3 linked regions of the Mus musculus genome follow. The protein of the gene in region 3 interacts with the protein of the main gene of each other region in a pairwise test. Links are inferred from orthologs where the notes say so. Each region holds a gene or a part of one and is shown on either strand. Other genes may lie near its edges.

Region 1 (3,748 bases), on a different chromosome or scaffold from region 3:
CAGAAGAGCAGTCAGTGCTCTTAACCACTGAGCCATCTCTCCAGCCCTAGAGTTTCTGATTTAATTTGCTTCTCTGTTGCTGTAATAAAACACTGCCCGCCAAGAGTAACTGGGGGAGGAGAGGGTTTATTTGCGCTGCAGGGTTCCGGCATCAGGACCTCAAGGCAGGAGCTTGAAGTAGCAATCATGGAGAGACATTATTTACTGGCTGGCTTCCAGACTTGCATTCTGCTATCTTTCTTATACAACCCATTACTACCTGCCCAGGGGATCACCTCCCACAGTGGGTTGGGCTCTCGCCTCCATCAATTAGCTATCAAGAATATACCCCACAGACCAATCAGATGCAGGCAATTCCTCAGTCGAGATTTCCTTTTCCCAGACATCTCTAGATTGTGTTGACAAAAATTAACCAGCACAGCTTCACAGATGATGAAATGCTTGTGCTGCCCAAGTGGCAGAGCAGTAGAGGAAGGACTGTAACAGGATCTCTGGGCAAAGGCACAAGGGTGCAACTGTCATTTCTATTACAGCCTGTTGTCTCCTTAAGAAGGGTTCGGCGCCTAGAATAGTGCCAGGGCTCCACGTGAGCTAGAAAAGTGTGTCAGCATGGTTTTTAGGAGTATAGACTGGATCAGAGTAGTGGAGGTAGGCTGAGAGGTCAGAAGATGGACAGGCCTTCCTAAGGTCATGGAGAAGTAGTTGGAGCCAGAGGCCATGTACAGACACAAGAGGTGGAATCAGTTAACTGTGCTTCCCGCAGAGCGTTAAAAGGAAGGCCAGGAGTAAACCAGACTAGGGAGAGAAAACACAGAGCCCAATAATGTTTAGGAGTTTAAGCTCTAGGAGGCCTGGTGACACCCTGAGAAATGGAGGACAGTGACATGTGCCCATCTGCAAGCAAAATGGTTGGAGCAGTGAGAAACCGAGAATGGCGGTTGCCGAGAGAACACGCGTGGGTAGTGCAGCCTCAGCAGACACACTCAGGGGTTGCATGTGGGAGGAGGGGCTCCCAGACTTGAGGACTGGAGAAAGCATTAGCAACCTGACAGAACCGGGTTAACAAAGGAAGGACTACATCTCCCAGCATGCTCGGGTTCGGTGGGGTGACGGCTGGCGGTGGCTGCGCCGCATCCGACTGGTGGGCGCGGGACCTGGGTGGGCACCGGAGCCTGTCATCCCTGAGGGGTCCGTGGGGTGCGGGCGGCGATGCACCGCTGTCCCTCGCCCAAGGGCCGCGCCGGGCTCTTGTTCCCCGCCCCGCGGCCCCGCCCCTTGCCCCACCCCAGACGGGAGACCTAACCCGGGCCGCAGCGCAGCGGCCGCAGCAACATCACTCTCACCGCCGCTGTTCCGCCCCATCCTTTTCTGTTTTTCTCTCATTCTCCGGTGGCGGCGGCGGGGAAGGCGAAGGAGAGGCAACAGCAGCCAGCCTTGGCTGCAATGAATGATCCTCCACCCGGAGGGGAGGACTCCAGGTGAGCCTCTGACCTCGGGAGGATCGGGACCCTCCGAGCCGCCCAGGACTCGCATCCCCCGCCATGGATCCCTAGGGGAAGGGAAAAAGGAGGAGGAAAAGACAGCTCTGCCGCCCACCCCCATCTCATTTTCCTCTTCCTTTATCTCATTGTTGCCGAAGCTGTAGCCGTAGCGCTCACTCTTGCTCCAGCATGGGGTGGATTCCAGGCACTACCCTTCGGCAGGAGCAGCTTGCGCGGTAACCTAGGGATTCTGCCTAATTCTACCTCTCCAGACTGTGCACAGAAAGCCGCGGAGAGCTGTGGAGGCCTGGACTGCAGCAGTCTCGGGGCCAACTCCCTGCATCCCCACCCTGGTAGGCTGCATGCGGATTGAAGAGAGGTGCCTGAGGGCTGGGCCAGCCCGACTGATCCCGACCTAGGAGTAGGGCAGAAGGACCGCCCAGGCTGCAGAGCGGCCCACCTGGAAGGACAGAGGTGCAAGATGGCCAGTAAGACCAAGGCCAGCGAGGCCCTGAAGGTGGTGGCCCGGTGCCGCCCCCTCAGTAGGAAGGAGGAGGCTGCTGGTCATGAGCAGATTCTGACCATGGACGTGAAACTGGGCCAGGTGACTCTGCGAAACCCCCGCGCGGCACCCGGGGAGCTGCCCAAGACCTTCACTTTTGATGCTGTGTATGATGCTAGCTCCAAGCAGGCCGACCTGTATGACGAAACGGTGAGGCCCCTGATAGACTCAGTGCTTCAGGGTTTCAACGGCACCGTATTTGCCTATGGCCAGACTGGCACTGGCAAGACCTACACCATGCAGGGGACCTGGGTGGAGCCAGAGCTCCGCGGGGTTATCCCGAATGCCTTTGAGCACATCTTCACCCACATCTCCCGCTCCCAGAACCAGCAGTACCTGGTTCGTGCTTCCTACTTGGAGATCTACCAGGAGGAGATCCGAGACCTGCTATCCAAGGAGCCAGGCAAGAGGCTAGAGCTGAAGGAGAATCCTGAAACAGGGGTCTACATCAAGGACCTCTCTTCCTTTGTCACCAAGAATGTCAAGGAGATTGAGCATGTGATGAACCTGGGGAACCAAGCCCGAGCAGTGGGCAGCACCCACATGAATGAGGTCAGCTCTCGGTCCCATGCCATCTTTGTTATCACAGTGGAGTGCAGTGAGCGTGGCTCTGATGGCCAGGATCATATCCGAGTAGGCAAGCTCAACCTGGTAGACCTGGCCGGCAGTGAGAGACAGAACAAGGCTGGTCCCAACGCAGCTGGAGGGCCAGCCACACAGCCAACAGCTGGTGGTGGGAGTGGAAGTGGCAGCGCTAGTGGTTCTGCCAGCAGCGGAGAGAGGCCTAAGGAAGCTTCTAAAATCAATCTCTCGCTGTCCGCCCTGGGCAATGTGATTGCTGCTCTGGCTGGCAACAGGAGCACCCACATCCCCTACCGGGACTCCAAGCTAACCCGGCTGCTCCAAGACTCACTGGGGGGCAATGCCAAGACCATCATGGTGGCCACACTGGGTCCAGCTTCTCACAGCTACGACGAGAGCCTCTCTACCCTGCGCTTTGCCAACCGAGCCAAGAACATCAAGAACAAACCGCGGGTGAACGAGGACCCCAAGGACACACTGCTGAGGGAATTCCAGGAAGAGATCGCTCGCTTGAAGGCCCAGCTGGAGAAGAAGGGGATGCTGGGCAAGCGACCTCGGAGAAAGAGCAGTCGTAGAAAGAAGGCCGTGTCTGCCCCAGCCGGCTATCCAGAGGGGTCCGTGATTGAGGCCTGGGTGGCCGAAGAGGAAGATGATAACAACAACAATCACCACCCACCCCAGCCCATCTTGGAGGCAGCTTTGGAGAAGAACATGGAGAATTACCTGCAGGACCAGAAGGAACGGCTGGAGGAGGAGAAGGCTGCCATCCAGGATGACCGCAGCCTTGTGAGTGAGGAGAAGCAGAAGCTTCTAGAAGAGAAGGAGAAGATGCTGGAGGATCTACGGCGGGAGCAGCAGGCTACAGAGCTGCTTGCAGCCAAGTACAAGGTAAGGTCCCCAGACAATGCGAGTACTTTGATTGGTAGATTTTCATTTGAGGGTCTGTGAGTTGGCCTGAGTGGGATATCCCACCTCAGGACCACACACTGATGACTGCTCCGGAGCAGCTAAGCAAAGTACCATAATACTAGGTAGCTAGGTGCACTTACATGCGAGCATCCACACCAAGCAAAGTGGGGAGATGTCTTGGACCAGTGGACTCCAGATGCTCCGACCACCTCTG
Region 2 (3,648 bases), about 1.4 Mb from region 3:
GCTGCCTTACAACTGACTTCCACTGTTCCCTAGTGAGCCTGTGAGAATTTCAGGGCGTACACCTGGGGCTAAGAACAGACCATTCTCAGACAGAATTCAGCACGAATGTGTTGAAGACAAACACAAGGCTTTGCTTTTGCAGCATCGCACAGCACTGGATGTCAGGAGGATGCTCTGTGGCTGTGCTCCTGGCGTCTTAGCCAGGGCGGTGGGCTTCCAGGCAGAGCACCGGCTACCCACCACTCAGCGGGCTGGTCAGGGAGAGTCTTCCCTACGCAGATACCCTCTCCCCCTGGAACAGAACAAAACCAAACCACTACTTTGGAGCTGCAGTGAGAAAGTCTTTAAATCAGTCCTGTTTGATTTTTCTTTAATAAGTCTGTTCTTTTGAAATGACTTATGATTGTCAAAATTTTACCCAGGGCCAAGTGTACTGTGGTCTTGAGCGACAGTGCTAAGAAACAAACCACAAAACAAATTAACGAACAACAATGGCCGTAAGCACTTTCGTAACACTTGAAATGTGGAGGGCCTATCGGACTGCTTTCTAGAGAGAGGTGGGTGTACTGAGGGGTCTCCCCGCAGCCATGACGACATGTATTGCTCTTCAAAAGAACAGGGTGAGATTAGAAAGGATAACCTGTGATGGAGGACCAAGCAGGCTGGAGACAGACGGGAGCCGTTTCCATTTGCTTTGCTGGGAGAGAGTGTAACTGGTCCGGGGCAGGGTCTGGAGGAGGACGGCTGCTATTAACACTCTAGAATACTATTTACAGCTGCTTCTAAAATGGAGTCCGTTTCTACAACGCCTTCACTGTGGTCCGGGATGAATTTTTCTAGGCAGTTTTCCTGCGAAGCCATTGGAGAAAAGCTGGGGAAGTCCAGGTCCGCCGCACCGCTGGCCGTAGGGTCGCTTGGCGGCCGCCCCGAGTTCTTGAGTTCCAGGATGTTCTTAAAGGTTTTCTCTAGGCTCTTGGTGAGCTGGAGATCTGGCTGGGGCTCACCCGACCCTTTCATGATGTCTGTGTGTAAAACCTCATTCTTTGGGGAATTCCTCAGCGCTTTGTCCTGGAAGGAGTCGAGACAGGGCATCTCCATGTGCGAGCTGGCCAGGACGCCGGGGAGCTTGCTCTCAGAGCCGTGATCTGGCCTGGGCAAGCTTTTGCGGTGGCCCTCGGGGCCCGGAGAGCACCTGCTGACCTTGGCAGGGTCCCTCCGGCCGCCCTTGTCCTCAGGCGGACCCCGGTATTGGCCTAAGACCCCTCTGTCAAATTTCAGTGTTCTACTGTGGCCTTCTGACTTTTTAGAAATGTTTCCCTCTGCAGAGACCACGATGTGGTTAGGCACTAGATGAAACTGGTCATGATTCGTTGCTTCTGCCATGCCTGGCTTGGCTCGGTCTCTGCTTTGGGCCCTGGGCACCTGATGGAGCGAGCTGGTTTTGCTGCGATGCTGGTCACTCCTGTCAAGCGGGGTCTCAGGTACAGCTTCGTCAAGTTTGAAGGAACAACAGAAATCGGCCTGAAAACCCTCTGGAAAGGAGATCAGAAAGAACTTTAGCGGTCAGAGAACTAGCACAGGGCAAAGCCTCTCGATTGGGCAGGCACAAAGGCAACCCTGCAGTCCTGGCTAGCCCCACCCCTTGCCCTCTTCTGCTTATCTTCCCGCCCACTCCACTCATGACCCTTCCCTCAGAAACTCTCAGAGACAACTTAAGAGAGGAGAATCTTCTTCAAGTAGCCCAGCTTCCTGGGCCAGCTTCCACACAGGAAGCTGTATGCAGAGGAGGTACCTTACCAAGTGAGTTACAAGCCTACTCCCCAGTGTTTCTTTTGGGAACTAACTGCTCTGAAAATAAAAGTTCCAGCTTCAACCTGCTTCCTTCCTGAGAGCAGTGGACTTTGTGGCAAAGGGGACAACCTGTCTCTGAGTGATAGAGTTAATAGACAGGTGTGAGGACCCCACCACTTCTCCCAGAACATAAAGCAAATGGCAAAAAGGCACACACGTTAGCTGCCTGGAAGGACAGAAGGGCTTGGAGGAGCTATGTCTGAGTGAAGAGTTGGGCTTTGCCAGGTTCCAGAAGCATTTGTGAGGAGCTGAGGTAGAGACCACAGTGGCTTCCCTGAAGGGAGAAAGGAAGAGGCGGCTTCATCTAGAAAACTAGACAGGATGCACAGAGCACCCATCACACCTCCGATCCTGAGCTACAGGGATGGAGGCTAAGATGGAAAAAGAGGGTGCCATCTAGTTGACACCGGTATTCAGGCTCTCATCACGCAAGACATGACAAACTGACAGAGTCATCACAAACTATTTTACCAAAGACAGAGATTTCAGTTCCTCAGAAAAGGGCTAGAAACAGATCCTCTAACACTGGCCTTCTGTGGCTCCTGGTCCATACCCAGCGTTCCTTCCAGACTTCTCCATTCCTCTCAGTCCACACAGTGTATTTATGAATGCCTTAGCCAAGGCAGGCCTAACCTTAATGTTAAACTGTCAGAAAAGAACAGCTAGGCCTGGGGGCTCCTGCCTGTAACCCCCGCCCTGACTCGGGTAATTACCCTGAGTTCAATATCATGAATTCTGGCATGGCCTGGGCTTCAGAGTGAAGCTTTATTTTAACAACCAAAATGACATCACAGCCGGGCGTGGTGGCACACGCCTTTAATCCCAGCACTCAGGAGGCAGAGGCAGGCGGATTTCTGAGTTCCAGGCCAGCCTGATCTACAAAGTGAGTTCCAGGACAGCCAGGGCTATACAGAGAAACCCTGTCTCGAAAAAACAAAAACAAAAAACAAAAACAAACAAACAAACAAAAAAAAACAAAAAAACCAAAATGACATCACAACTGGGGACAAAGAGACCCTGAAGCGGTCAGGAGCACTGGCTGCTCTTGCAGAGGATGTGGTGCGAGCCCCAGCATTCATGAAGCGGCTCATGACCACCTGTAACTCCAGTTCAAGGAGATCTGTGGCGCAGGCCTTTAATCCCAGCACTCAGGAGGCAGAGGCAGGTGGATTTCTGAGTTCAAGGCCAGCCTGGTCAACAGAGTGAGTTCCAGGACAGCCAGGGCTACAGAGAGATCCCTGTCTTGAAAAACAAACAAACAAACAACAACCCCCCCCCCCCCAAAGGAGATCTGACGCCCTCTTCTGGGCTCTTTGAGCATCAGGCATGTATATGTAGGCAAAACAACCATATACATAAAAGTTTAAAAATATTAAAAAAAGACAAAGTAGAGGCAGGCGGATTTCTGAATTCGAGGCCAGCCTGGTCTACAAAGTGAGCTCCAGGACAGCCAGAGCTATACAGAGAAACCCTGTCTCGAAAAAACAAAAACAAAAAAACAAAACAAAAAGACAAAGTAGGTGATGGTAGCACATGCCTTTAATCCCCACTTGGGAGGCAGAGGCAGGTGGATCTCTGAATTAGATGCCAGCCTGGTCTAAAAGAGTAAGTTTTAGGACAGCCAGGACTATATAGAGAAACCCTGTCTCAAAAAACAAACAAAAAACCTAAAAACAAACAAATAGAACAAAAAAGAAGACTAGGTGTTGGAGAAAGGAGACTACAGCAAAGGAAGGCAGCAGTGAGGCCACAGGGGACGAGCCCGCTGCGGTATGGAGCGAATGCACTCAGACACTA
Region 3 (3,648 bases):
ACTCAGTTTTTTAAAACTGCATTTTTAAAAAACATTGTATGTATGTTTGAGTGGGATGTGCTGTTGTTAATGTGTAGAGGTAAGAGGACAACTTGGTATGAGTCATTTCCACTTTGTTGGATTAAGGTTTTTGAACTCAGGGTGTCATGTTTCGTGGTCAGTGCCTTTACCTGCTGAGCTGTCTTGTAACCCAGAGCCCATTTTACAGTTGAGAATTGGGCTCAGAGGAGTTAAGTATTGCAGGCAGCCACTTAAACAGGGAAGCAGTGATTGAACCCTAGCCTGCTCAGTTCCTTCTCTCTCATTCTGCCATCTAAAAGTGTTTCTTTAGTAGAGAGCCTTTCACCCTTTCACCTTGTGACATGAGGAGACGGTGGGGTGGAGCACCCCTAAGCCAGCAGTGGTGCCTCTGGCTTAGGAGCCTGCCTCAGTTGATTACTACTGGTATGGTTCTGGACAAGTTGTTTAATTTCAGTAGTTTCACTAGCTTTAAAATGAAGTCAATATTGGCTAGTTTGTAAAGTGGTTATATGTTTTTTTTCTTTTTTAAGAGAAAGTCTTACAGCAGGGCGTGGTGGCACACGCCTTTAATCCCAGCACTCAGGAGGCAGAGGCAGGTGGATTTCTGAGTTCGAGGCCAGCCTGGTCTACAAAGTGAGTTCCAGGACAGCCAGGGCTATACAGAGAAACCCTCTCTCAAAAAAACCAACCAATCAAACAAACAAAAAAAGAGAAAGTCTTACTATGTCACCCTGGTTCTGGAATTTGCTCTGTAGACTAGGCTGGCTTTGGACTCTCATGCTTTATATCTGCCATGGTTAAAGTTTTTGGAGGTAATGAGAGTTGTCCAGTTTCTGACCTTTAGTGACTGGTATGTACTTGAGAGATGTTGCTGTATAATGAATAATAGCGGTGTTGGTGCTCTTGGGAAACCACGAATACTTGACTTTTTAAAATCAGTTTATCTTGGAGCCCTTAGATCTTTCTTTCTCTGTGTATCCTTGTATGTGTGTGTTGTATGTGTATGTGTGTGTTGTATGTGTGTGTTGTATGTGTATGTATGTGTTGTATGTGTATGTGTGTGTTGTATGTGTATATGCCCATGTGCATGCTAGAGGACATAGGTTATATTTATCACCCTCAGCTCTGTGTCCTTGAGACATAGGATATAGTCTGTATTGTTTTTTTTTTCACCGAACCAAAAGCTTGCTGTTGCTGAGTTGGCTGGCTGAACTATAGGCACATGGTCATGTCTGTGGTTTTCTCCCTGCCCCCCCCCCCCCTTTTAAATGGGTTCTGGGGATTCAAACTCAGGTCTTCAAGTTTGCAAAGTAGCTACTCTTACCCATGGAGTCATCTCCCTAGCCCCTACTTAGAGGCTATTTAGCTCAGGTATTGTCCATCCCCTTCTAGAGAACAACCAACCAAACCTTACCATTGGTTTAAGGAAGGAGGAAATAAGCTAGTCTTGAGCTTTATGGTGGTAGAAAGTGTATGCTTCAACTTAAATTATTACTGTAAACAGGCCCAGGATGCTCTGGTACAAGAGATGGAAGTGGTCAAACAAGGAATGAGCCATGGCGAACTCTCCAGTGAAGCTTACAACCAGGTGTGGGAGGAATGCTACAGTCAAGTCCTCTATCTTCCTGCTCAGAGCCGCTACACTCGTGCTAATCTTGCTAGCAAAAAGGACAGAATTGAATCACTTGAAAAGAGACTTGAGGTTGGTATCCATTTGCTTATATGTTTAAAAATCGATTATTATTGTGTGTATGATGTGTATGTAAGTGCTCGAGGAAAGCTTTGTGGAGGCAGTTCTTTCATTTCCTTCTAAGTGGGGTTTGCCTTGAATTCCTGCTGCTAGGCTTGCGCTGCATTCACTTTTACCTGCTATCTTCATTGCCCTTGGTATCCTTTTAAAATTCCAATTCAGTTGAAATTGTGAGCCAGTTAATACGTCTGGTGACTTAAGTACTAGGGCTGGACAGCTGATTGCTTTGTAGTTCTTGAACACTTTGCTGGGTACTCTTCCCTCAATCAGAACCTTTATTTACGTGAGGGAGGGAGAAGGAGTTACTAAAGTCAAGATGGGTCAGTGAGATCACAGCAGTGGGAGTTTTGATCTATAGCTCACAGAGCACCGACATTTACAGAAACTCAGTACATTTTTGTGTATCCTGCAGTTGAGTTAGAGTGGAGTTGCTATGCAGACAGTGGCTCTGTGATTTCCTATGTCTGTGATGCATTGAAGCCTATTAACAGCAGTGGTTTCTTAATAGAATGTTCATGTTCTGAATTCCAGAATCTCTGTAGACATTTTGCAGTGGCATGTAAATAACACAGACTGCCAGGCTGCCTTGTGGGTTCTGGTTGTTGTTGTTGTTTTTGACAGGGTCTTACTGTGTCACTATGCCTATCACTGGAACTTACTGTGTAGATCAGGTTGGTCTCAAGCTCAGACATCTGCCTACCTCTGCCTCTCCAGTGTGAATAAAGATGTGAGCCACCACACACAGCATGCTTTCTAGACTCTTACTCGTGGTCTTTAGGGATGTGTCTGAGGCCAAGATGGAATAGAGAAGGGAAAAGGGATTCTTCAGGACACTGGATGCAGAAAATGACCTAAGCTTCCTCTTTCATGTGATTGTTAGTTTTTCTTTATAGAAAGTAAATTTGAGAGTATTTTTGTTTAGGGTTAAATCTAGATATTAGAATTAATTGTGGTAGTTGGGGCTGTGTGGAACTAGAGAAATGAACAGGAAAAAACAGTGTCTTCTAATATGAATCTTTATGACCACTTATTGTCATACCTTTGTGCTTGTAGAGTTAGGAAATTAGTCTTTGTAATGTAATTCTTGCAGTGCCAGGGCCATGAGTGTTGTAGTTTTATGACTTCCAGCAGGTGGCACTGTTGCTCTGTTTTAATTCATAATGAAAGCTCTCGGAGACAGAACACGAGTGGTTAAATTGTAGGTTATACTTTGTGTCGTGCAGGCTTCTTTTCTTACAAATGACAGTTATAGATCTAAGGCCAACTTTGTAATTGATTGGTAGGCTGTTTGGAATGCTTTCTTGTAACATTTATATATAAATACTTCAATCTCTCACTTTGTTTGAAAAATCTCAGTTTGAGGTGGGTAAACTCTCTCTGCTGCAGATCAAGGACATCTTAATGTTGTTTAAAATGAAGAGGATAATCCCCCTGAATCTCACTTACTCTGCTGAGGCTCTAACTTGAATCTCACTTACTCTGCTGAGGCTCTAACTTTCATGACAGCAAACAAATGTCACAGCGTGAGTGCTGCTGTGAAGTCCAGTGACTCTTCTCTGTTGGATCAGCCCTGAGAATTCTGAAGGGAATAGCACAGCGAGCCTCCGCTGTTCTGTTCTGTTCTGTTGGAGAGGTACTTGGGTTGTTGTGAGCAGTCATTAAAAACATGTGGTTCTCTTTGTTCACTTCATACCAGGACTGAAGTCTTCTGTTGAACTGTTTTTGTTGAGGGATTGCTGATGTTGGAAGAATATTCATAAAACAGTCTAAAGTACTTTTTTTTCTCTTTTTGACTCTTGGGTAACTTGGCTTATTGTTAACCCAGCTAGTTAATTTTAAGGAATATTTAATCAAATCTTTCAATTAGTAAACTCTTA

What was found.
Region 1: the proteins of Cdc5l (region 3) and Kif3c interact in a two-hybrid assay, tested with the Homo sapiens proteins (2 studies listed by BioGRID and IntAct). The link is inferred for Mus musculus from reciprocal best matches to the Homo sapiens genes CDC5L and KIF3C.
Region 2: the proteins of Cdc5l (region 3) and Bicral interact in a two-hybrid assay, tested with the Homo sapiens proteins (2 studies listed by BioGRID and IntAct). The link is inferred for Mus musculus from reciprocal best matches to the Homo sapiens genes CDC5L and BICRAL.

What each region holds. Positions count from the first base shown.
Region 1 is NC_000078.6:3,364,019-3,367,766, forward strand, and holds the start of Kif3c (kinesin-like protein KIF3C), read left to right. Parts: upstream 1-1,113; 5' UTR 1,114-1,962; coding exon 1,963-3,513; intron 3,514-3,748.
Region 2 is NC_000083.6:46,800,298-46,803,945, forward strand, and holds part of Bicral (BRD4-interacting chromatin-remodeling complex-associated protein-like), read right to left. Parts: intron 1,533-3,648; coding exon 751-1,532; 3' UTR 1-750. UniProt on the Homo sapiens protein: Component of SWI/SNF chromatin remodeling subcomplex GBAF that carries out key enzymatic activities, changing chromatin structure by altering DNA-histone contacts within a nucleosome in an ATP-dependent manner.
Region 3 is NC_000083.6:45,402,669-45,406,316, reverse strand, and holds part of Cdc5l (cell division cycle 5-like protein), read left to right. Parts: intron 1-1,525; coding exon 1,526-1,723; intron 1,724-3,648.